Oryzias latipes: one gene and its partners. The protein of the gene in region 4 interacts with the protein of the main gene of each other region in a pairwise test. Links are inferred from orthologs where the notes say so. Each region holds a gene or a part of one and is shown on either strand. Other genes may lie near its edges.

Region 1 (4,064 bases), on a different chromosome or scaffold from region 4:
AGTTTCAACTTGACGCTTCACAAATAGTGGAAAATTGGAGCTTTATCATTCTTCTTGAAAATTTGCTGCTGTTCATAAACACTGACAGTCCAAATAAAAAATGATCATCCAGGGTGAAATTATTCCCTGCATGGAACGATCAATAACTGAGTGTTCCTCCCTAAAGACTCACAAAAGTTTAAAGGGTTTTTATGGCTATTGTAAAATCCTAAAGTAATTGAAAATAAAAAAGAGAAAATTAAAATAAATTTACGTTTAAGTTTAATCACAATACACGGAAGGTCCATACATATGGTTTAAGATTAGGTGAAAAACTCTAAAGCTCAAGTATAATTCCAGTGTTGTGTTATTTTGATGCTTTAAAGTAAAAGTTAATAATCACTTCCAAATTAAAACAATCGATCAGCTGAAAGAGTTCAGGCTCAATGATGAACTCAGGAAAAAACTAAACAATGGTGATCATTTATTTGTTTCTGGCGCCCTCTGCTGGCGGTAGCATTATATTGTCAGATGTTCAGGTGTTTTTTACCTATAAACAACCAAAAACAACACGTCACACCGTCAACATAAATGTGTCAGATGTTTTCCAAAAAAACGAATTCTATTGTAATAGATAAATAACAGGGAGCCGGTTTAGCTCGTGCTGGTTTTGCGGCGCCTTCCGTCCGTGAAACCAGGGTTCGAATCCGGACTGCTCCCTGTTCCTTTCTCTACTTCTGTGCCGGTCCCAAGCCCGGTTGCTTTGAGAAGGTTGCGTCTGGAAGGGCATCCGGCGTAAAACATTGCCAGGTTTACCATGCGACCCTTGATGGGAAAAGCCGAAAGGGAAAGAAGAATTGTAATAGATAAATAATTAACAAATATACAGAATTTTTACGAAAAAATAACAAAAACTGAACGTGGCTTGAATTTGTAATTAAAATTTGTATATGTCCAACAATTACTACAATTTATACATGACAAACATATGAAAAGTCGTAGAATAAGTTCTGATACAATTGAGGCCTAAATCAAACCAAATTTAACTATTTTTTTAAAGGACACTTAAAACCTATATTTTTATTTTGCTCTATTCAAATTATTTATTTTGTCTTACTGTGATTTGCATCACTATAAGTTTAATTTGGCGAAAGTTTGTTGCGGTTGTCATCTGTTCTCAAGATGGTGCGTTTAGTGACCACCGTTTTTCTGCATTCTGTGGATGTGTGATAGTAAAAGCTGGTGTTCAGCGCCGTGTCAGAAAGCAGAGTGTTGATGGTAGCTCTAATTTCCTAGAGTTCCGTGAACGCAACCCCCGTCGGTCCCTGCGTCAGCAGCCTCTCCGGTGCTCCTGTTTGTTTCGACTCGTTTACCGGAAGGCTTACCGACCGGTCCGGTTGCTGTTCACGGGGAGGTTCGGTGAGTCCACATATTAAAAATTATTGACGCATATGTATTTATTCATTTATTTGTAGACGTCATAAATTCGGTTGTCGCTTACTGCTGCATGGATTTGCTTTACGCACCCATTATCTGACAACAGAGTCTCCTTTTCTGTTTCCTTTGCTATCAGGAGAACACTTGGAGTAACTTAACTGGTGTGTTTCAATATATTTGTTATCATGTTGATTATTCTAATTTATTTACCTGGCATACCTTTGCTCTTGATGAATTCGTAACGCTGTGTCTGTTGCCAGGCTACGAATAGTGACCGATAATGGAAGTAGGGCTTCCCTCATCATCGCTAATATTTTCATCGTCATAGTTAAAGGCTTTTTATTCAAATATATACATTGAATTGTTGGCGTTGTTGTGTCAAACAGCTGTTCGGGGTTCCTGTTCATGGTTTGATGTTGAAGGAACATTGAAATTTCTCTCTGAAACACTATTAAAAGGGGTTAGCTTAGGTTAGCTAGCTCGGCTAATCTGAATGCTAACGAGCCCGTTTCTTCAGTGAAACTCAAGCCGCCAGGCGCCGCTGTCATGCATGTTTCATGCGTTGGTGCTCGATGGCATCGCACGGTCGCTGTGGATAGGCGTGTGCGGTTAAATACGCGTGCACGCCGCTTTCTCACTGTCGTGATCCTTGCTAGCGGATGCTAACTCGAAGCTAACCCCGGGGGCTCCTGAACAGAGGGGTATTCCAGAAAGCAGGTTATGCTAGTTACCACGGTAAGTTTGAGGCTAAGGAAGCGGATAACCTCAGCTTTAGGTTCCAGAAATCGAGGTATGTTTTAGGGTAGGTCAAGTTGCCATAGCAACTCATGCACTGAACATAACCTGGTCTAGAGCAGGTTTAGTTGAAGGTTAGTTTGTTTTCAGAGAGGTGAAGCAGCATGGCGTGTCCATTTGAAGATGATTTAGTGGATGAAGAAGCTTGATAAGACTGATTGGTGATAAGACCACGTATGGATGTTGGAAAGATAAACTTTTTTACATTAATCTAACTTAACTATTTGCTTCAGTTAAGATAAATCATTTTTGTTGTTAATTCAGCTTAAATATAACACGCAGTTATCAGACAGTTCTTTTACTTCAAATTAATTCAATTTAGTATGTGTAACTACTTCCGCAAGGAATTGTGGGATACCATTCCCTTTGCCTGTCTGGACGGATTTGGGTACAAGTGTAGGTTTTTGTCTAAATATGTTTAGTTGTAGCTGTTTTACTGTGTTTTGCCGAGTTATTTATACTGTTATGTTAAATTCTTTCAGCACCATGAGTGAGAAGGAGGGAGAGGATGATGAATTTATTTAGCACCTCTATTAGTTAACGAACACATTAAACACAGTTTCTGATTTGTGAAAATGTGAAATTGTATTATTTTTGTCGCATTTTTCGCACTGAGTCCACCTGTTCAAAAACCACACAACCTGTACTGATCAAACCTGGATTAAAACATTATTTAGATACTAAAGAACACATTAAACACAGTTTCTGATTCGTGAAACTTTCCCAGCAGGAAGTTGAACCCTTTATTTGATTTCTCAAAATGAGGACGGGAGCGATACGATCGAGGGAGGAGAGAAGACATATGAAAAGCAGAGTAAGAGAGATGGGTGAACCTGAAATGGGAAGAGACAACATTAAAATATCAGGGTCCAAAAAGAGAGAAGTTATCTTACAAGTTAGTTTGGTCACGTTTACTTTATGAGGAGATAAGGTGGACTCAGTGCGTAAAATGCGATAAAATAATCCAATTTTACATTTTCACAAATCAGAAACTGTGTTTAATGTGTTCTTTAGTATCTAAATCATAATTTTATCCAGATTTTATCGGTTCTAGGTGATCTTGGTGTGAAAAATGCAGTGGAATGTTCCTTTAGTGCCCCTCGTGAAACGGAAGCCAACCTCAGCTTCGTATGATGGAGGAAATGTTGAGAAAATTAAGCTTAATATTGTTTTTTGATTTATGGCGGTTCTTATTATTTGGGCAAAAACGGCATAATCATAATGAAAAGATCACTGGGAATGATTTAAAAATAGTTTAAAAGACTTTTTAGAGTTTAAACTTGGAAAACAGGTTTTTTTTTTTACCCTCAAAGGTCATGTGACTGAAAAACTGTGCTGCATTTGTAATCTATTTTCTTTTAGTAGTAAGAAAAAATGAGATTCCTCCAGAATTTGGTTAGTGTTCTCATCATTTGTCTTCACTTTGATTTGATAGTGCTGCCCAGAAATGTGCCCGACTGTAAATCCATCATCAGCGGCTGAGCTGCAGATTGGATTTTTTCAGTCTTAATTGGGTTAAATCCTTCAGAGCTTTAATTCCAAAAAAACTGAGGATGTGAAGCATTTTAGGACGAGTTTTCCCTTTGGATTTCATCGATGGGTGGAGGATTTATTCTTGTGGCGCTCCAGCTGTGCGGTTGCGTGGATGTCCCGGATCCTGCGCTTGTTTCCATTGTTGTGGTTTGGTTCTTCCACCGCTGCGTTTTAATCCTGTAAACGCTGGCAGCGCGCCTCGGCCAGCCTGGAGGAACTGGATCTGTAATCAGCATCCTTCAGTGTCGGGTTACCACGGCTCACCAGGGCATGTCTCCATGGAGACGTGTGTGTGGGTGTGGGGGGCAGCTGGAGTTTCA
Region 2 (4,079 bases), about 5.5 Mb from region 4:
CCACCTTTGCATAACAGTAGCTGGGTTAGGCTCTGCCAGCCCCTGACCCCAACAGGGATTCAATGGAATCAAAAAAATGGATGGATGGATTTTCACTAACATTTCTGTTATTTCCTCTGGCAGCTGTACCTTAAAGAAGGCATCTACAAGAGCAAAGGTTTGTTCTCTCTTGAAAATGACTTGCAGGTGTTTTATTTAGAGTAGAGTCCAACTGCTTGCCAGGATTTATCTAACGGATATTTAAAAAATGTGCAGGAAGTTGAAACTCCAAATCCTTACCTTGAGTGAATCATCAGTCGAATAACTTTTTCAATGGTCCACTTCTAGACAGCATCACGAATCCAAATGTTTTGATAAAAGAATAATAACTGAAAAACATTAAAATATTAAAGAAATGTGTTTTACATACATTTTTTTTAAAAACAACAACACTGAATTTATTGAATGAGCTACGTTGTTACCCACTTACTTTCAAGAAGGAACAAATGAGGGTCTTATAATTGTTTTTTTAATTAGCTGACAAAAGATGGCAAAAGACACAAAAATCCTGGAGTGATGGCACAAAACAACTCCCTGCCTACAGAGTGGTGTCAATGAAAAAAATGACAAAGAAATACTATTTTATTCTGTTGTACTTGTATTGTCGTTCTTCTTGCAAAAGTTTTGTTGTTGTTTAACTTAAATTGTTAACATTTTGTGTGAGGTGTGTTTTTTTACTTGCATTAACAGTAAAATGATAATGATCATTTTAACAATCGCTTCATCTTGCCTCTTAAAAAAAAGCTGTTCAGTCTTTCTCTGCTATCTAACTTGATGTTGACGGAATGGTCCATTGCCACACAGGGACAGGGGAGGACAAAACACTTTCACACGAGCAGTCTTATGCCATTTCAGTAATTTGGGCTTTTTATGACAGATTTAAACTATTGAGGAAATTATTTTAGACCATGTTTGTAAATGCCCCCCACACACACATGTGCAACAAGTCCGCCCCTGTACAATACACGAACTTCCCTCTGCTGCACAGGACTGCGATGCCAGCAGTCACCGGCAGAGGGCGCACTGCAATCAGGGCCTGACATGGTGCCCGGAAGACCAAGGTGTAAACATTTTTGTGACGTTCAGCTCACGTCCACCCGTTAAGCGAAGCATCAGCTGCGCTGGGTCTGCAGGTCGTGACAGCACTGCTCCGTTTTCGTTCCACTGGTTCGTCTGGCCGCCTTGTCCCTCCGTCCTCACGGCTTTCATTCCACAAAAAGGCCGATTCCTGAGAAAAAACATGCAGAAGAGAAGGAAGCCAGAACCGATCCAGCTGAACCCGATTCCCGACGGAAACACACTGAACGGAACCGGAGCCTCCGAGTGAGTGTTGGCGATCAGCTGTTTGTCACATACGAAATGTTACATAATTATGTTTACCACAGGAATTTAGAGCTTTTGGTGTGACAATAATCTGAGACACTGTCTGCACCGACTGTGGGATTATTTATTTATTTCACAGTTAAAACTGATTAGAAAGATAGGTTCAAAAAGTACTACTAACACAAGAACCTCTATTAGAACAGTACTAAGAAGACGAGCAGTGAATCCAAAGATACAATAGCGTCAAATATTTGTAAAAATGTTTCAAATAAACAAAAATTGCAGTGTTTTTTTTTTAAATTTAGGGGATCTGCTTAGAGAATCAGAGAAATCAAATCTCTGTCACAGATTAGTGTTAATACAGCTCTCCTCACTGTGACTGATCTAATCATCACTGTGAAATAAAGTGGCTCTCCAGCTCTCTTCAGCTGATTTCTGAGGGGAGGCACTGTTTAGTGATATGCTTGTGTGGGTTGGAGGTAAAGAGAAAAAAACCAACATGATAATGGAGAAATAAACCTGTTGTGACACCTTGTTTAGTGTAAATCTGTGGAAACAATTCTTTGTCATTCCACCAATAAGCTGGATCCCATTACATAACATGGTCTTCACTATGAAGCCTGTTTGTGCAGGCAGGATGCTTTCTGGTTTCTTTATTAGATGCAGCCTCTGAAAGTGATCTGTAGCCTTTGCAAATGAGCACATGAAGGAAATCTAAATCAAGGATTGGGGATATTTTTTTTTAAACTGCTGAGAGTATGTGGTAATACTGCTGTTTAATGTAATGTGAGGATGCTAACCTGCAAACAGGTGTTGCTTTGTTCTTGTTGTTTTTTAAGCAGGTTTTTTGGGGTACATTCTGACAGTTATCTGAAACAGTCTAAAAAGCACTTTCTATATTCATATAGAAAAAAAAAGGTCCATTAAATTACACAGATTTTACTTTCCTAGCTCCATGTGAAACTCAACACTGTATGGCTCCATAACAGACTATAATGTGAGTGCTTGATGGCAGTCATCTAGTTTGGTATGTATTCTCCAGATCAATATTAACTGTAGAAAGCTCTTCTTCACATTAGCTCCTCCAATCCTGGCCCTTAGTAACATGTGATCCAAAATGTTGTTGTTCACCTTTCGGCATATCCCTTCAGAGGTCGCCTCAGTGAATCAGCTTTTACCGATTTACTGAAGGGACATGTGTTTTTGGCAGTGATTTTTACGTCGGATGTCCTGTATTTTTGCTGACTGGGGACCGGCACAGGGAAGACCCAGACTTGGGGGGGGCCCCCCTTGGGTCTTGCTCAAGGACCAACACTGGATGAAGCCTGGTTTCCCATGCGCCAGTCCTACACTCAGCTAACTGAGCCATCCAGCTGCTTGACATGTGATCCAAAATGTATTTTTTAGGTTCCGACATGAACTTTTAACAACATTGACTGACGTATGTCAAAACAGGAAATCCACTATTTTGCAAAAAAACATTTTGTGTGATGAAAAGAATGAGTCAAGTAACCATAAAGGTTAGTTATATGTATATGTCTAGCATTTCTAAGCATTGGGTAGTTTTCTATTGTCAGCATAATTTGACAAAAGTACGTTTTACTGTGTAAGCCTCATTCTCCTGCCTCCCTATGTTGTTTTGAACACACCTGTGCGTACAAATGTATCTCCTTAACCCTGTGGGTAGAAAGGGAATCAAAGATATAACAAGACAAAACAATATTTCATTAACTAATCTGAAACTCTCCTCTTGCTGCATAGAAGCCTACTCTTTTTTTTTTTAACAGATCTGAGTTCCTTCATTTAAGTTTCTTAATATTCATCATTTTTGTCATAAACTGTTTTCAAATCCACTGTTTTTGCTGACATTTGTCTGCAAGGCTCGGTGCAGAGCTGCAGAACGGGTTTCTTTCGTACCTTTATCTCCCATTAGATGTCCTTGAATATGACGCGAATGGATACAAGAAAGGCCGGCTACGTGCGCACACCCCCTGCACCTCAAGTGGTGCTGCCCCTGTGGTTGTTGCACCCACATATATTGTGTTGAGTGTGTTTCATGCTAGTTCTTTTCTCATCTCCTCCACCTCCAGCTCTTGTTGACAAAACACCCACGCCGCCCACATCTACATGTAGCTCGTTTCCATGGATATGCAGCCCTACTGACAAAAATAAAAGCACTTAAACCCTGTCTTTGCTGCATGACGGAGCATTAGAGGAGAGCTCAATGCCCAGCTTTGAGTAGTTATCAGTGAGTTGTGGTTCGACATGGACGTAAAATTCATAGCTGTGATGAAGCTGAAGGAGACCTCTACAGCAGGAGATCAGTCAATGCTCCTATGATATGTAGAAATCATACTTCAGGGCTGCGCAAAACTGCTATAGTACCGAAATGATCGGAATTCGTTTTTAATACAATGTAATTTGATTTATTTCAATTATTTTAATTCCAATTCCCATTTCAAACCCAGCTGTGTTTGGTTATGAAAAACTATTTCCACAAAACATTTCATTTAAAGTAGGTGAATATTAAAATGTCATTAATCAAACTAGACATTCTTATGGTAAAAAGTAACAGAAAAGGTTTGAAGACTGAAGGGAAAAAAAAGAAATAAGCAAAAGGGGATGAATGGATTTTGCTCTGTTAAAGGAAAGCTCTATTAATTTAATAGATTTTTTGAAACCCAAGAACATGTTACATTGCAAAACCTCTTCTCAAG
Region 3 (4,253 bases), on a different chromosome or scaffold from region 4:
ACCTCAGCCTTCTTTTTCCTGGTGGTACTGCTCTTAGGCTGGATGCTGGCCTCAGTTGTCATGATTTACAGCATTGCTGTGTGAGTGTGGATGTTTCTTGGTAACATAAATAATACAATTATTTTTCCTACTGGTCAGAAAGTCAAAATTTGGCCAATTTGTCGCAATACAAAAAAGGCGATGGCTTTGTAGAGATTTATGAAATTATGTCTGAGTGACGTTCCGTGTCTGTCCATACAGGATCCATCCTTCTCGGGGATGTGGGCCTTTCCGGTTCTCTGACAACATGTGGTTGATTATACCGACATCTTTCTACAACCTCTCTGCAGCCACACAAGAGTTTCTTTTCTTCATTGGCTCACAGGCGTTTACAATCCCCCTGTTTTCATTATCGGGGTAAATCCATTTTCATTTTACATGAAAATCATTGAACTGTCTTGCACTGTGCAGATATAGATGATATTTTTCTTTGAATGCCAGTTGATTCTTTACCAGCTGACTTGTTTCTCCGTCATAGTTTGGTGATGTGCTACGTCATAGCTTTGTTCTCCATCTATGGGAAAAGTGTTGGACTGCTAAGACTGCAGCTCAAACGGGTAAGTTGATGGTATCTAAAGCAGTATACTAAGAATTGGCCATGAGTTAACAAAGATTTTTTTCAATATTTCCTTTTTTACTTTAACTAATACAGGGTCTGGTCTTTTTTGTTTTTACAGGAGAGCCGGGATAAGCAGTTCTTAGTCAAGCAGATTGAGGAACTAAGTCGGTAGATGACCAAGATACCATTTGATAGATACATATATATACTGTATCTACCACTACAAGACTAAACAGCCTCTGGACAATGTTTAGTCTCTGCAGTACAGTAACATGAGACGATGTCATAAAGAAAGGATGTTTATTAAAAAGAAAAAAAAAGCTTCATATTATATATACATAGTGAAATTACACCAGATTCTTTCAAAATAAAATGTTAAAAATGTTGCACATTAAACATCACTGTTCTTTAAGCACTTTAAAAGTGATCATTTAAACAGGTGTTTTGATCATTTTTGGATATAGACTTTGCAAAGAAATGCATGTAAAAAAATTGAACCTCTAATACTGTTTTAAAAAAACAAGACAGTTGGACAGTGTTTTTGTTAAGACGAGAGCAACCAAAAATAATTGTTTATTTTTGACCCTTTTGAGACTACGGTATGTATTCAAACTTTTTATATTCTTTTCTTTAAATGTTGTGATTTATTTGTATTTTTTTAATGAGAAGTCCTTCGTTTGCTGTTGTTTTTTTTTTTTTTTATTGCTTTTTAAAGTTTAGTCTTGCTCGCTTATGACCATTACATTTATTTCTTTTGAATAAACCAGTTGGCGCTCGCTCCAGCTCCATCTAACGATTCTTCTTTGTAATTGCTTCAAGAGTTGTAACTTTTTTTGTTTACTTCCTGTTTGGGTCTACTACTTCCGGTGGACCACAGCAAACCTGGAATAGATGAACTCTCCAAAAAGTCGGACAGATTTGTTTGTTGTTAGACCTTAGGATATTAAAAAAAATAATACTGTGCTTTTAACGAGCCAGGTTTGCCGTCATGAATGCTAACTTAATGTAGAAAAAATGTAAGCTAATGTTTTAAAATCTAGACAATTGCGCAGATTTTTTGCTAATTTCTGCTTTACTAATCATATCAGACTCAGTCACCTGGCTGATTCGCGTTCCATATTGTTGTAGATCAAAGGCTCGGGTCTGTTCTTCCTCTAAATTTTGAGTTAGCTAACTGCTAACAGTAACACCATCATGAATATCCTTCCGAAGAAAAGCTGGCATGTCCGCAATAAAGACAATGTAGCGCGCGTGCGAAGGGACGAAGCCCAGGCTGCAGAAGAGGAGCGCGAGGCTAAACGCCGCGTGGAGCGCGCGGAGCAAGAAGTATGTTCAGTTTTACCGTTCGTTTTTTGTGTTTACATCTGTCTGTGTTTCGTGCTGGCAGAGTATACGTTAACAGATCACGTGACAGTTTAGCTGGTTCTGAGCTGAAAATGAGTTGGAAACCTCTGCAACTGAGTAGATTATATGTATTTTTTTCCTTTCCTTTTGGGGGGTTGTTATTCACAAATCATATACAAAATTGAGGTTTGAACACTATCATTAAGAAAGTGTGTTGTTCCATCGCTAATATGGAGCTGATGTTTATTTTTTATTGTGTTGATAATCTGAAATAGATTCAAACTTCATAACATGCAAAAATTGTCATGGTTTGTTTCCACAGGCGCGAACAGAATATCTGAGAAGAAAGGCCCGAGCTGGTCTCCAATCAGTGGAAAGCACAGGAGATGATGGGAGTCAAAGCGGAGGACATGTGGAGCATCTCAATCTTTTTCCTTTGGAGGAGTCTTCAGATAAGAAGGGGAATGAAGAGTATCTCAAAGAGAAGAAGGAGGAAACGGTGATTGTGCTGCTACTTCTGTTTATATTCTGAAAATTACAGGTTTATCTGAGTAAACACTCACTAAAAATAATTTAGGAAGTCCATTTTATGGATTTTTTCTTTTCATTTGTTGTAGGAGAGGAATGGTGTACAAATCCCAGGAAATTGATTGTCTGATCCAGCACAGATTAACATCTATTTTTGTTTGTGTGCATAAAATACTATAACTATTGTGTTTTTCATGTTTGAAACTCTCATTCTAATTCTGCATTCAAAGAATGAACACTTTTAACAACCAGACTGCATTTGCTTGACAGTTAGTTTTCCCTTGTTTATCACGGGAGTTATCTTCTAAAAATAACCCACATCAGGTGAAATCCACAAAGTAGAATTCGAGATGTTTTAAGGCTGTAAAACGGAACTTTGTTTCATGTTTAAACTCTTAAAGTTCAAACATTTGTAGTAAAATAAGTCATGTATTATAGAATAAAACAAAAAAATCTGTTTGTGGTTGAAGATTTAGATATTTGGCAAGCTAAACGCATTCTGTACAGGAGACACCGCTTGGAGGAAAGTACTTGACAAAGTCTACTACCAATCAGGATGCAGAACAAATTGAGCTGTTAAAAGAAATCAATGAAAAGAAATATGAAAAAAATCAGCGAGAGCGTGAAAGATATAGCGAGGGACCACTGTACTCAAAAGAAAAAAAACAGGTTGCTCATCTACAAGTTGCAAATGAGTAGCACTCTGCAGCTTTTTGTTGATTTTTAAATCAGTAATGCTAATTTAAAAAGGTAAACATCCACTTTTCCCCACCTAATACACTTGGTTTGCTGTGGTTTCTTATTCTACAGTGGCAAAAACGTGCAGCTGGATCTCATCAGACTCTGTCAGGATTTTTATTTTACCAGGAAGTTCTGATTCTACTTTTATGCAACAATGTTCAGTCATCTATTAGAGAAGGAAAAATGACACAAAGAACAATTTGCATGAAAAGGCAATGGAGTTTATTACAGTTTTTTTTATTCTCCAATACAATTATTTGAAATGGAATATTTTAAATATTGATCATAGCTACTCTGGTTTGTCCAGGAGAAGCAAGAGCGAGCCATCGGCCTGCTTGTTTCTTTAGGCCCCCAACCAGGCACTGAGGTGACTCCATGGTACATGCAAAGCAGCGCAGAAAAAGAAGAAGAAGAATCGGAAAAGAGGAAGGGCATAATTGAAGAGGAAAAGGCGAAGAAAGACCGCAGGCTGAAGGAAAGTTTGGATCCTTTGAAAGATATGAAGAAAGCATTGGGGGAAAGTGAAAGGAGGCACCACAAGAGCAAGAAAAAGGAAAGAGGAGACAAGGGAGAAAAGAGGAGCAGTGGGGAAAGGTAAGAAAGACTTTGGTTGCTTGAATGTCCTTCTAATGATGTTGATTACATAATAACACTGTTTTTTTATGGTGTTTTCTGTTTTTTTTTTGCCTTTTCAGCTCCATGGAAAGATTGCGTGCTGAACGCTTACAAAGGGAAGCTGAAGAAAGGAGAAGAGCCCAGGCTTTGCTTGAGCAGAGGAGTGGGAAAAGGAAGGATGCAACGCGAGAAATGGACGACAGGGACCGGCCTTACAACAACGCTTACTTCCCAGAAATTGCCCGAAAACGACAGAGGCGAGACAGAGAGAGCTGGAGAGATGAGATTCTCAAATCTTGAGTTTCATTATTCTGAACATTTTACAATCAGATGGTTAGGATTCCCTATGACTTTTTTTTTTTCATTTGTCCTGTTCTGTCCATAAAAGGAAAGTCTTGCAGGAACTAGAGGTCATGTCCAACAGCAG
Region 4 (6,305 bases):
ATTGCAAAAATAGAAGTTGTTCCAATGCGTCAATATAAAAAAATAGCAATGGACAAATACATAAATACCTGGGTACTGAAAAGTGCAAGCGACGTTTTACAGATTCCTTTTATTTTTTGCACAATAATCAAATGTAAATTAAATATGTTTACAAACAAACAGGAATTGATAGGAAATCCATTCACATTTTAATTTCCTAAAGTTTTTCACATACAAATAACACAAACATAACATTATTAGACAGAGAAGTTTAAGGTGGAGATCACATCACGGCTCAGCACTCAGCCCCTTCATGTTTGCAATGGTGATGGACAGGCTGACAGATGATGTTAGACAGGAATCACCATGGACAGTGGTGTTTGCAGACGATATTGTGATTTTTAGCGAGAGCAGCAAAGAGGCGGAGGAGAAGCTAGATAGATGGAGGTTTGCCCTGGAAAGGAGAGGATGGAAGGTTAGCCACAGAAAGACGGAGTACCTGTGCATAAATGAGAGGGACCCAAGAGAAAGAGTGAGGTTATAGGAAGAAGAGATAAAGAAGGAGATGGAGCATTTTAAGCATCCAGAGTCAACAGTACAGAGTAATGGACAGTGTGGAAAAGAAGTGAAGAAGCGAGTGCAGCCAGGTTGGAATGGGTGGGAAAAAGTACCAGGTGTAATGTGTGATAGTATGAGGTTCAATTGGACCAAAGACATAGACAGTGGGCACAAAAACATGTTTTTGGCACAAATGGAACCTCATATTTTTCTGGCAACGTGCGTTTGCAGGAATATCAATAAAATGTATTTAAAGAAAACGTGTTTGTCATGGTTAACGCTAGCGCCGGCTTTAATAAACCTTTTTTTTGTTTCGTTCCGTGGTAGTACAGGAAACAATTAACCGACCGTACAAAGGACTTTTCTGACGACGAAAGACAAATGCAAAGTTTTAAACATAACGCATGAACCAAAGGTCAATGAACTCGTTCAGTAGACATAGACAAGGGACCAAAGACATAGACAGTGGACACAAAAACATATTTTTGGCACAAATGGAACCTCATATGATAGAAGAGTTTCAGCTCAAATCAAAGGAAAGTGGCACTGAGGAAAAGACAGGAAAAGGGCTGGAGGTTGCAGAAATGAAGATGCTGAGGTTTTTCTTGGGAGTGAACAGGATGGATTAGATAAGGAATGAGTACATCTGAGGGACAGCACATGTTAAAGGTTTTAGAGATCAAGTCGAGAGACCTAACTGAGATGGTTTGGACCATAGTGTCCAGAAGAGAGGCAGTGAGTAAGTATATTGATGGAAGGATGATGAGTCTAGAGCTGCCAGGCAAGAGGTGGATGCAGTGAACGAAAACGTGACAGTTTTTGGTGTTAGAGTAGAGGATGCAGAAGACAGGGTTAGAGGGAGGAAGGTGATTTGCTGTGGCGACCCCTGAAGGGAAAAGTCCAAAAGGAAAGAAAATGATTAGAACATTATGCCATATGATCACGTGTCTTTGCAAAATTCAAAGGGGGGTTTCAATACATTGAAGTGAAGAAGCAATAGCTTGATGTCTTGATCCTGTTTTGGTGCCTTCCCGTGTGTTGCCTGCTGTGATGGCATTTGGTCGTTTTTATGTTATAGTAAAATAAACCTTCTGTGCCTCAATCCAAATGGTATTTCCCAATATCAATATAATCAATTTATTTCATTTTGAAAAAAGTTTATGATGGTATATTGATTCAGTTACCAAATTGCCTCAGACAGATTGATCTGGTTGGATTGTAGAAAAATAAATGGATTCATCAATTCAACTATTTACAAATACGGCCTCCTTCACTTGATTACAATTTGGCTAATGCAGGACTGAAGGGCTTCATACAACACCTAAATAAATTAATAAATAAAATACATAAACAAAACATGGATAAAGAACAAACGTGTATTAACACACGTTGAATCACAAACATGGCAACAAGAGTGTCTCTCTAACAATTAAATTAAAAAAATGTTTTTAAATGACTGGTTTTGCAGATCTTTAATATATAAAGATCTGCATATATATATATATAATATTTGTATAATTTCTTTTTAAATAATTTGTGTGTTGTCTTAAATGTTGATGGTGTGTCATTTTCTCTATTTTCCCTCACTGTTCAAATCAGAACACAGAGTATCTGAAACTATCTCGAAATTGTTCAGCTGATAACAGTTTTATACTTTGTTCTTTAAATAGTTTCCCCCTGCAGTTGTTACACGAGATATTGCTGGTAGCGTTGATTTTTCTGCTCAAATCGTTGGCTTAAAAAATAACGAAAGACATCCATGTGCAGGATCCTTTGTTTATTTTTTAGTTTGTGAGGAAGTAATCCTAAAAACAAACTTAAATTTGATAGTTCAGTAAACATCCGCTCATATAAAGGAGCATTTCTTTAATCATAAGATTTTAAGGCGGTCGGTAGTTTTGAGCAAAGTGTCAAAGTGTTTTTCTAAAAGAAAACTTTACACCCTGACGCTGATCTCATATCTAATGAAGAGTCGGCACGTTCCCCCTACAGGCTGTCTCGGCGGTCGCAGCCAGTCGGCGGAGGAGCACAGGAAGGCACGAGCTCATCTCTCGCGAGGAACGACGCCGTTATCGGAATCTCTAGAAACAACACGAGAATTCGTCATTCACACGGTAATATAAGCCCACTCTTACACCGTGCAATTGACGTGTGTGAGCAATGGTCTACGAATCCAAGTCAAAATCATCTTTCATTTTATTTTAATTTTTTACGTTTTAGCAAATACTTCGTTGCGTTTCAGCGGCCTGTAGGCCTAACTAGCATGCTAACGACTAAGCTAGCTGAAATAGCGCTCTGTTTGCGTTGCTTAGCTCTCAAATCGGATTGTGCTAACTTTAGCCATTGCCAGTACATCACTGCTCTGTGCTAATCGAAACTTGTTATAATGCACAGCTGTGATCTCATGCAGTTGTAATAAACTGTACTTTTCCTGAAAAACAATAATCAACATCTATCAGGACCTATGTTCCTTCAATTGTTTAGTTCATTAATTTAAATCTCCTCCCATTTACTGATACTGATAGCATACAGTTAAATAACTGCATCGTTACTAGCAAGGCAAAGATGAAATATATTTAGTGGAATGAAAGGTAGAAGGCTTGAACAAAGTCTGGCTTTATCATTATTAAGATAAACCACCAGTTTACAAATAGTAAGGCATTTCTGGTCGTTTTTTTTAAACTATCACATCTTAATTGCTTTGAAACAAATTCATACATTGACATGTGTATGAATGTGAAAGTATTTCTCAAAGTGCATCAACTAATGTCATAAAATTGCCAGTCTGATCTACTTTTGCCCCAATCCATATACAAAAAAAGTACATTTGATTAAATTATACATCCAAATTAGTATTTGCTAAAAGTGACGTAAACAAATCTATTTGTATTTTGATTTAATTAAAAAATTAAATGGGGAGACTTGAGTTTAACTGTTATGCCATTTAGCCACAGCTTGTAAAGAAAAATACAGCAATGCCAAGCACACATGCTTTGTTTAGAAGGTGGTCATTAGCCTTAGTGATAATTGTTTTACATAAACATAAAATTGTGTTTTAATTAAATTTTTACTTTAAAATAACCATTTATTGGAAAAACAAACAATCTTCCAATACTGTCATTTACATTGGACTTTAATTCATATACACTGTTTTAAAATTAGTTGAATCAGGAAAATAAAATACTTTTAACTACTCTCGCCTTTGCAGGCTTTTAATTATGACACAGATTTATGGTATTGGGGAAACATTTTAGATATAAAGGACTTGGGAAAACAAAACAAAACAAGAATTATAAGTATTTTGACCATAAATAATGCGTAAATAGGTTAAAAGAAACGAGTACCACAATAAAAATGTTCCTAAACGTGAAAACACTTCAGCAAATATTAACTATTGTATTTATTTATGAAATTTGGGGAAGTTTAAATGTCCACTCATTTTTTGGACTTATCATTTAAAAACAGTAATTTTTATCAAGAACCGTTTCCAAAACTATGTTTCATGACTATATGACACATGAAAAGCAGATTTTGAATTTTAGCTGCAGTTTAGTCACATGAAGCAGAAAGTGTGCCATTCTATGTTTAACTTGCTAGTGATGAACATGTAATAAATCCTCAAACTTAAATGCTTTAAAAATGTCATAGAACTCATTATAATTGCATACTCAACACATGCATTGACTTCAAAGCATTTATGTACAACTGTTGTCAAACACAATTTCATAACTGGTATTAAGCTAATAGGATTTGCTTGAAAACCAGTTAAATTTGATTTGTTTCCTCAATTATGGAGTTTGCAATATGTGTGGAAAAAGGCCCAATATTAAATGCATTGGCAATAATCTCTGCAAGTATTTGATTTGGCCCAATAAGGTAATCAAGCTTTTTTCAGGCTGTGTAGTTATTAGTCAAAAGCGCTAAGGCTCAAAATCATACAATAAAGACCTTGTCCAGTTTGGTGTGGATGCACAAAGCCACTCTTGATGCTCTGGAATGTACAGGTTTCAATCGGTGATACTTTTTCTTAAAGTTCAGTCCTACAGGAAACAAAAACAGTGGCTTACAAGGGTCGCTTCCTGTTATCCTTTCCAACAAGCCTGTTTGAAATGGTATGGTTGCCAGGAGCACACATTCCCTCTATGAAAGGAATTTTTGCAAGTTACAATTGTGGAAAGCTCTGAAGATTTCTTTAACAAAAGACAAATAATGCCCCACTTTTTGAAAAATTAAACACAAGAATTTATCGTTGTGTAAATGAGACCAGAGTCCACTTCAATGAATGTAGTCTTAAAGTTCTGTTTATTTTTTAAAGTCAAATGCAAAGATCTGTTTGTTAACTGCATTTTGTTTTAAACAGCAAAAACGGAGTCTTAAGGAAGTGAAAAAGACCCTTCTTTCCTGAAAAATGTGTCTTATTTTCTGTCTTTCCATCCATTTTCTTAACCTACTCTATCTTTTTTGGGGTCTCGGGGCTCCCGGAGCCTAAACTGGGTCATTTTGGGCAAGGGTAGGGTACACCCTGCAGGGCCACACAATTACACACACACCGAGTCGCACCTTGGGATGTGACCGATGAAGCGCGTCTATGGATGAAGGTCGATTGCCTGGAGAAAATCCACACATGCACAGGGAAAACATGCAAACTCTTCACAGAAAGGACCCAGTTTGGATTTGAACCAGAGCCTTCTCATTGAGAGGTGAAGGCAGCAACCTATTCTTTCTTGTCTTGCAAGAAAAAGTTTTTCTAGTAGCAAATGAAACTTTGTTTAAGAAAGCATGCCCAAGTGACATCTAAAGAACATTTTTGAAATTTTAAGTAGTTTTGATGAACTTTATAGTGGACTGTGGTCTGAGGCACAGCAGCGCATTTAGAATAGATTAAAGAAAAAAAGAAGTTGTTCAAGTCAGTCAATGAACGGCAGTCAATGAACTGCAGTTAAATTGCCAAACCCCGCCCCCTAATAAAAAGCAAAACTAAAAAACAAGTGGAAGTTTCTCTAAAATGACAGGGGAGGTAATGTTCATGCACACAAGTCATAAAAACATTTTCTTCTGAATGTACATTTATAACTTCTTAATAATCATTTTGGTTTTTATAAAAAAATTACCATTTTCTTCTTCATGTGTTTCTTGGTTTTAACATATATAAACATCTTGAGGTAAAAGATGACTGTTATTTTATGTCGCGTAAAGGCGCGTGGCAGCTCATTTTTCCTCCCCATGTCTCTTTTCAGTTATGAATGATGTCTGAACAAGAGTTAGATGACATCGTGCAAATAACAGTGGAGGACTTTACACACCAAGACCGCACTGGTGAGTTTTGCCAAAGGAGTTTAAAAAAATTAACCATAAGAAACATATTTTTTCTCTATCTTTTATAGACCTTTTATTTGTTGGATATCCGCACTAATAATTAATGGACATTTTCATTTAAGACTTTAAGTCCAGCTATTTTAACTACTCTTTACCTAAGGCAAGAAAATATATTCTATGTTGAGTGTGTCTTTTTTTTTTAAGTATAATTTTATATTTCAATGTGTCAGAAATGCTTGACAATCATGAGGACGACGAAGAAAGGCCACAGAAGAAAAAGAGAAAATTGAGCCAGAGCCAGGACAACAACAACAACAACAATCAAGATTTATCTTTTATTAAGGTACCAGCTGTTCACAAAATGCTTTCCAAAATCTTCCACATCTCTTTCAAAGTTGGGTGCTATTTTTGAGTGAACTATTATGTCGTATTATTTTTGTTTCCAGAATCTT
Region 5 (4,080 bases), on a different chromosome or scaffold from region 4:
AGACTGGAGAGAAACAAAAAAAAATGTAGATTCGAATTGATTCATAAAGTTTAACTTTCAGACGACACATTCTGGATGAAGAGAATCCACTGCTTCCTTTTCATTTTCTGCCCCTGCTGTACTGAGTGGACAATGGCAAAGAAACAACACAGCTTTCAAAGCAAACCTGCAAGAATAAATAAACTTACGATGCTCAAATGTCCACATAAAGCTAACTTCAAAGACATTAAAGGTTATTAAAGGTAAACAGGTTGAAGAAACACTTAAGCTTCTGTCCCTTTCAGCTTCCTGCTTGCAAAGTTCTGTTAGACTGAAGATGCCGTCTTACTTGGTTGGGAAATAAAAGCATTGGAACAGGAACTGGAGCAGTCACTGGATCACATCCAGGCTTTAAAAGGTGAAAAACACAGCAAAACATTAAAGGAAACTGTTAGACGTGTCTGCAAACCACTGAAAAACGCCGCCGTGCTCACCTTGTATACCTGATCTAGAGTGAGGCATCGGTTGGCCTCAGGCCGGATGGTCCAGAAGGAAACTTTCCCATCGGGCGCCGTCTCGCGAACAAACATGTCGTGCAGAGAAAGGTTGTGGCGGATTGAATTCTGCAAATGGGAATTTCAGAACAGATATAAACGCTTGGATCAAAAAAATGGGAGCCTTGAATAAACAAAAGTCTGGATTTTTTTTTACCTTCCATCCGGGTTTGGCCACCTGTCTGTAATACGGAAAATGGTCCTCGATCCAAGTGTAGATCTCTTTCAGGGTCATCCTCCGGTTTTTCCTGCTGTTGATGGCGAACTGGATCATGGCCATGTAGGAATACGGCGGCCTCCCTGACAGGGGCTGCTGGCAAGGTTTCGTTTCTGGAGGTACGCTGGCTGCCTATGATCAAAAGAAAAAACGCGAATGAGGGTGAATTTCAGCCGTGAAAATGACTGCAAGAACACGGAAGACAAACTCGAGAAATTCTTTTCTGGAAGATGTGGCTTCAGGTTGAAACACATACAGACAGTATGTAACGGGAACGCTGTCCCCTCCCTCAGACGAGAGAACTTGTGGCCAGCTTAGAATATTTTCTACGTCACAAATGAGCTCTTTTTTCAGTCTGCTCCTGATTCACAACAATTTGAATGAGGATATACTCAGAAATGCAATTGTAAGCTTAATTTTCCCTATATATGTCCTCTAGCTTCAGAAAATTGAGACAATAACATGGTAAAAACTATTTTTTTTATCGGAGTGGGTCTTTAAGCAGTCTTCGGGTTTCTTTCTGTTCGGGTACTGCGGAGCTGAACAGCAGCTTCAAAACGGTCAAAAATATTAAAAAGGAAATTATTACACCTCACCATTTACTGATCTAAAGATGCAAAAATTGACGGTTAATTTAGCATTAACAAAAAAAAACACAACTATAGAATTTCCCCTAAGATGGAAAAGGACAAATCACAAAAGGAAGTGACTATTTGCATGAAATTAGAGTGTCAGGGTTAAAATATGTGCATGAATTTCCATCAGATTTTGAATGTAAACACATTCAAAAAAGATCAGCCATCAGAGAATATATAGCAATATCTACAGTGAATAAAGCAAATCCTGTTGATATGCATCTATATCATTAATACATACATACAAATATATGGGTAAAATCAAAGCCTTTGTAATCTATACATAGTAATAAACATCATAATTGAGCTACTTAAGTCACAAATATACAAAGTTAGCATCTATTTATGGAGCATTGCAATAAATGTTCTTGTAAATTATGTCATGCAACACTATTTAAATCACCATTCAAGCATATATAATTCATCAAAGTTTCAGTTCAGATGGTGGGTAATAGTATCTATTTTTCTCTCACAAAAAACTTACGTTTTGTCAAAATCTTCAGCAAAGAGCAGCTTTAGAATAAAATGAAAACGTGTGACTAAACCTCACAAATGGTGAAAAATCACAGCATGGTGACATTTTCCTCAGGCAGACGGGTTACTGTTCAATTTTAGGAAACGTGCCACAACATTGCCTCAGACTTGTGTTCCTGTCACACAAGAATCTGTTTGCACACTGGCAGCAAAAGTCACAACCGTGTGGAAGGAAAAAAAAAGACAAACAGCTGACCTGAGCAGTCTGAGACACGGGAGCCTGGTTCTCCTTGCCTTGTATTTGCTTTGCAGGCTCTGACTCTAGAGCACATGTGTTCATTTTGCCCAGCCACTGGATGTTGGTGAGGCTGTCATCCAAAGGGCCGCTATTCCCATCTTTACTCACTGAAAAAAAATTATATATATATATTGAAGCAGGTATTTCAGTTAAATGTAGCATTTCTGACATAAAATTTTAAACTCTGTGCAAATTCCTTACAGGGTTTAATGCCAGTCACATCAAGGGATGTGTGAGTGCTTTCTTTTGTTGCTGGTTCTTGAGATGGGATTTGTGTGGAAACAGCATCTCCTCCAGAAGTAGCAGTCTCACAGAAAGATCCGGCTTGATCCTGATTGCCATTGTCACTCAGGAGAATAAACTTGCTCGGACCCTGAACTCCGCTGTCTTTGCCTTTAGCGGCGAGGACACTAATTACACTCTGAACGTCTGTAGCTTTGGGAATGACCACAACCTGAGTGTCTGACAGGGATGGGTGGCCTATAAAGCGGACCCCGTCTGGGAAGCACGAACTGTCGCTGGAATTTGACGGCTCTTTGGAGCCACCGGACTGCCTGGATGGGTCTGCTGGGGTGGGTTCCTTTTGTTGAAAAGGTAACTTGCGCCTTTTGAGGATCAGGGGTCTCCTTGGGCTCCGTCTCATGGTTCAAATCATCCAAAGGGCCTTAGGTGTTCAATGGAAATCTGTGGGGAGGGGGAAAAGGTCTTGAGCTACAGTTATGGCTCAAAAAGTACTCAGAAGTTAAACACCTTATCAATACATTACGTTACAACGTTTAAATACTGACTTTAACGATAACCCCGAACTAGTGAGCCTGAAAACAACATACCTGCTAATAGAATACGAAGTAATCGGTCAAAAATGATGTTTCAATCCTATGATATCGTCTTCAAACTTAAAGAAACCCGATTATTGCTGTCTGTTTGCTGCAAAAGTCCCAACAGTCCCTCGCTCGAAAGTGAAGATTTTATTCGGTTCCCTTGGCGACATGCCAGTCGTTATAATTTTCAGTTGATGATAGGTTTAATTTCAATAACGTCTATCTAGTGGATATTCAGTGCAACATATATTTACATGTTAACACAATGCAATCAATAAAACAAAAAATAAATTCAAAAAATAACATGCGCCTAGCCAATGTCCCGATTAGCGTATAGTTTCCTTTATTTACAGCTAGGCTAAGCTAGCTATGCTAAAGCTGTTTGACGATGGAGGAAACAAGTGGAAAAATGAAGCCAGACCTTCACATTACTGAATTACTGCAGCGTTTCATTCAATTCCAGGCTTGGTTCGGCTTTCAATTCCACTTGTCGGATCAAAGAAAACATTTAAAATATTCACAAAACCGACGTATTTAGTAGTAATTAGATACAAAAAGTCAATCCATAAACAGTTTTGAATTTTGGCGCTGTGGGCGCTGCCCCGACTGTCACTTTGATCACATGGTAACAATGGACCAATAGTAAACGCAGAAAAAAACACTGGGCGGCTCAATAGGTGGCGCTGTGGGCCGCAGCTCGAGATGGCCAGCCGCTAACCCGAAGAAGACAAAGAAAAAATCCGGGAAATTAAAAGTAACAACAACACGGACAAGCTAAGATAAAAAGGTCTGAATGAACCGAAAAATAAGGGAACGTTTTTATTCCGTATTCCGTACATGGACACATAATCACGGAAAAAGCACAATATGGTAAGTAAAGAACGCGTTTCAAAAGTAAACACTTGAATGCGAATATGTAAACAGCCTCGATCTACGACTAAAGCTATGTGTATTGTTAACAAGATTACTCGATCGGATTTGTCTCTTGTTTGTTTTGAACAGATGCTTAAGATTGATTTAAATTGATGCCCCGGAAAGCGGCAAAGACAGACAAGCCTGCACTGCAATTCCTGGAGCGACCTGTGAGTGGCGCCAGACTTCA

The links. The genes of interacting proteins can lie anywhere in the genome.
Region 1: the proteins of banp (region 4) and rab3ip interact in binary tests that used the Homo sapiens proteins (3 or more experiments, as listed by UniProt). The two-hybrid records come from large-scale screens. The link is inferred for Oryzias latipes from reciprocal best matches to the Homo sapiens genes BANP and RAB3IP.
Region 2: the proteins of banp (region 4) and map2k1 interact in binary tests that used the Homo sapiens proteins (3 or more experiments, as listed by UniProt). The two-hybrid records come from large-scale screens. The link is inferred for Oryzias latipes from reciprocal best matches to the Homo sapiens genes BANP and MAP2K1.
Region 3: the proteins of banp (region 4) and leng1 interact in binary tests that used the Homo sapiens proteins (3 or more experiments, as listed by UniProt). The two-hybrid records come from large-scale screens. The link is inferred for Oryzias latipes from reciprocal best matches to the Homo sapiens genes BANP and LENG1.
Region 5: the proteins of banp (region 4) and foxm1 interact in binary tests that used the Homo sapiens proteins (3 or more experiments, as listed by UniProt). The link is inferred for Oryzias latipes from reciprocal best matches to the Homo sapiens genes BANP and FOXM1.

What each region holds. Positions count from the first base shown.
Region 1 is NC_019881.2:22,273,283-22,277,346, forward strand, and holds the start of rab3ip (rab-3A-interacting protein), read left to right. Parts: upstream 1-1,264; 5' UTR 1,265-1,398; intron 1,399-1,552; exon of another isoform or gene 1,553-1,577; intron 1,578-2,130; exon of another isoform or gene 2,131-2,151; intron 2,152-4,064. UniProt on the Homo sapiens protein: Guanine nucleotide exchange factor (GEF) which may activate RAB8A and RAB8B. Promotes the exchange of GDP to GTP, converting inactive GDP-bound Rab proteins into their active GTP-bound form.
Region 2 is NC_019864.2:16,494,862-16,498,940, reverse strand, and holds the start of map2k1 (dual specificity mitogen-activated protein kinase kinase 1), read left to right. Parts: upstream 1-1,279; coding exon 1,280-1,362; intron 1,363-4,079. UniProt on the Homo sapiens protein: Dual specificity protein kinase which acts as an essential component of the MAP kinase signal transduction pathway.
Region 3 is NC_019874.2:19,390,365-19,394,617, reverse strand, and holds the start of leng1 (leukocyte receptor cluster member 1), read left to right. Parts: upstream 1-1,453; 5' UTR 1,454-1,792; coding exon 1,793-1,924; intron 1,925-2,264; coding exon 2,265-2,441; intron 2,442-3,518; coding exon 3,519-3,805; intron 3,806-3,906; coding exon 3,907-4,126; 3' UTR 4,127-4,253. Other genes in the region: tmc4 (transmembrane channel-like protein 4), read left to right, coding at 1-80, 241-396, 518-596, 717-770.
Region 4 is NC_019864.2:22,009,242-22,015,546, reverse strand, and holds the start of banp (protein BANP), read left to right. Parts: upstream 1-2,170; 5' UTR 2,171-2,651; intron 2,652-5,774; 5' UTR 5,775-5,780; coding exon 5,781-5,853; intron 5,854-6,083; coding exon 6,084-6,196; intron 6,197-6,299; coding exon 6,300-6,305. UniProt on the Homo sapiens protein: Controls V(D)J recombination during T-cell development by repressing T-cell receptor (TCR) beta enhancer function. Binds to scaffold/matrix attachment region beta (S/MARbeta), an ATC-rich DNA sequence located upstream of the TCR beta enhancer.
Region 5 is NC_019881.2:18,848,296-18,852,375, reverse strand, and holds the start of foxm1 (forkhead box protein M1), read right to left. Parts: upstream 2,801-4,080; coding exon 2,359-2,800; intron 2,265-2,358; coding exon 2,116-2,264; intron 883-2,115; coding exon 691-882; intron 603-690; coding exon 474-602; intron 389-473; coding exon of another isoform or gene 329-388; intron 4-328; coding exon 1-3. Other genes in the region: rhno1 (RAD9, HUS1, RAD1-interacting nuclear orphan protein 1), read left to right, coding at 4,004-4,080. UniProt on the Homo sapiens protein: Transcription factor regulating the expression of cell cycle genes essential for DNA replication and mitosis. Plays a role in the control of cell proliferation. Also plays a role in DNA break repair, participating in the DNA damage checkpoint response.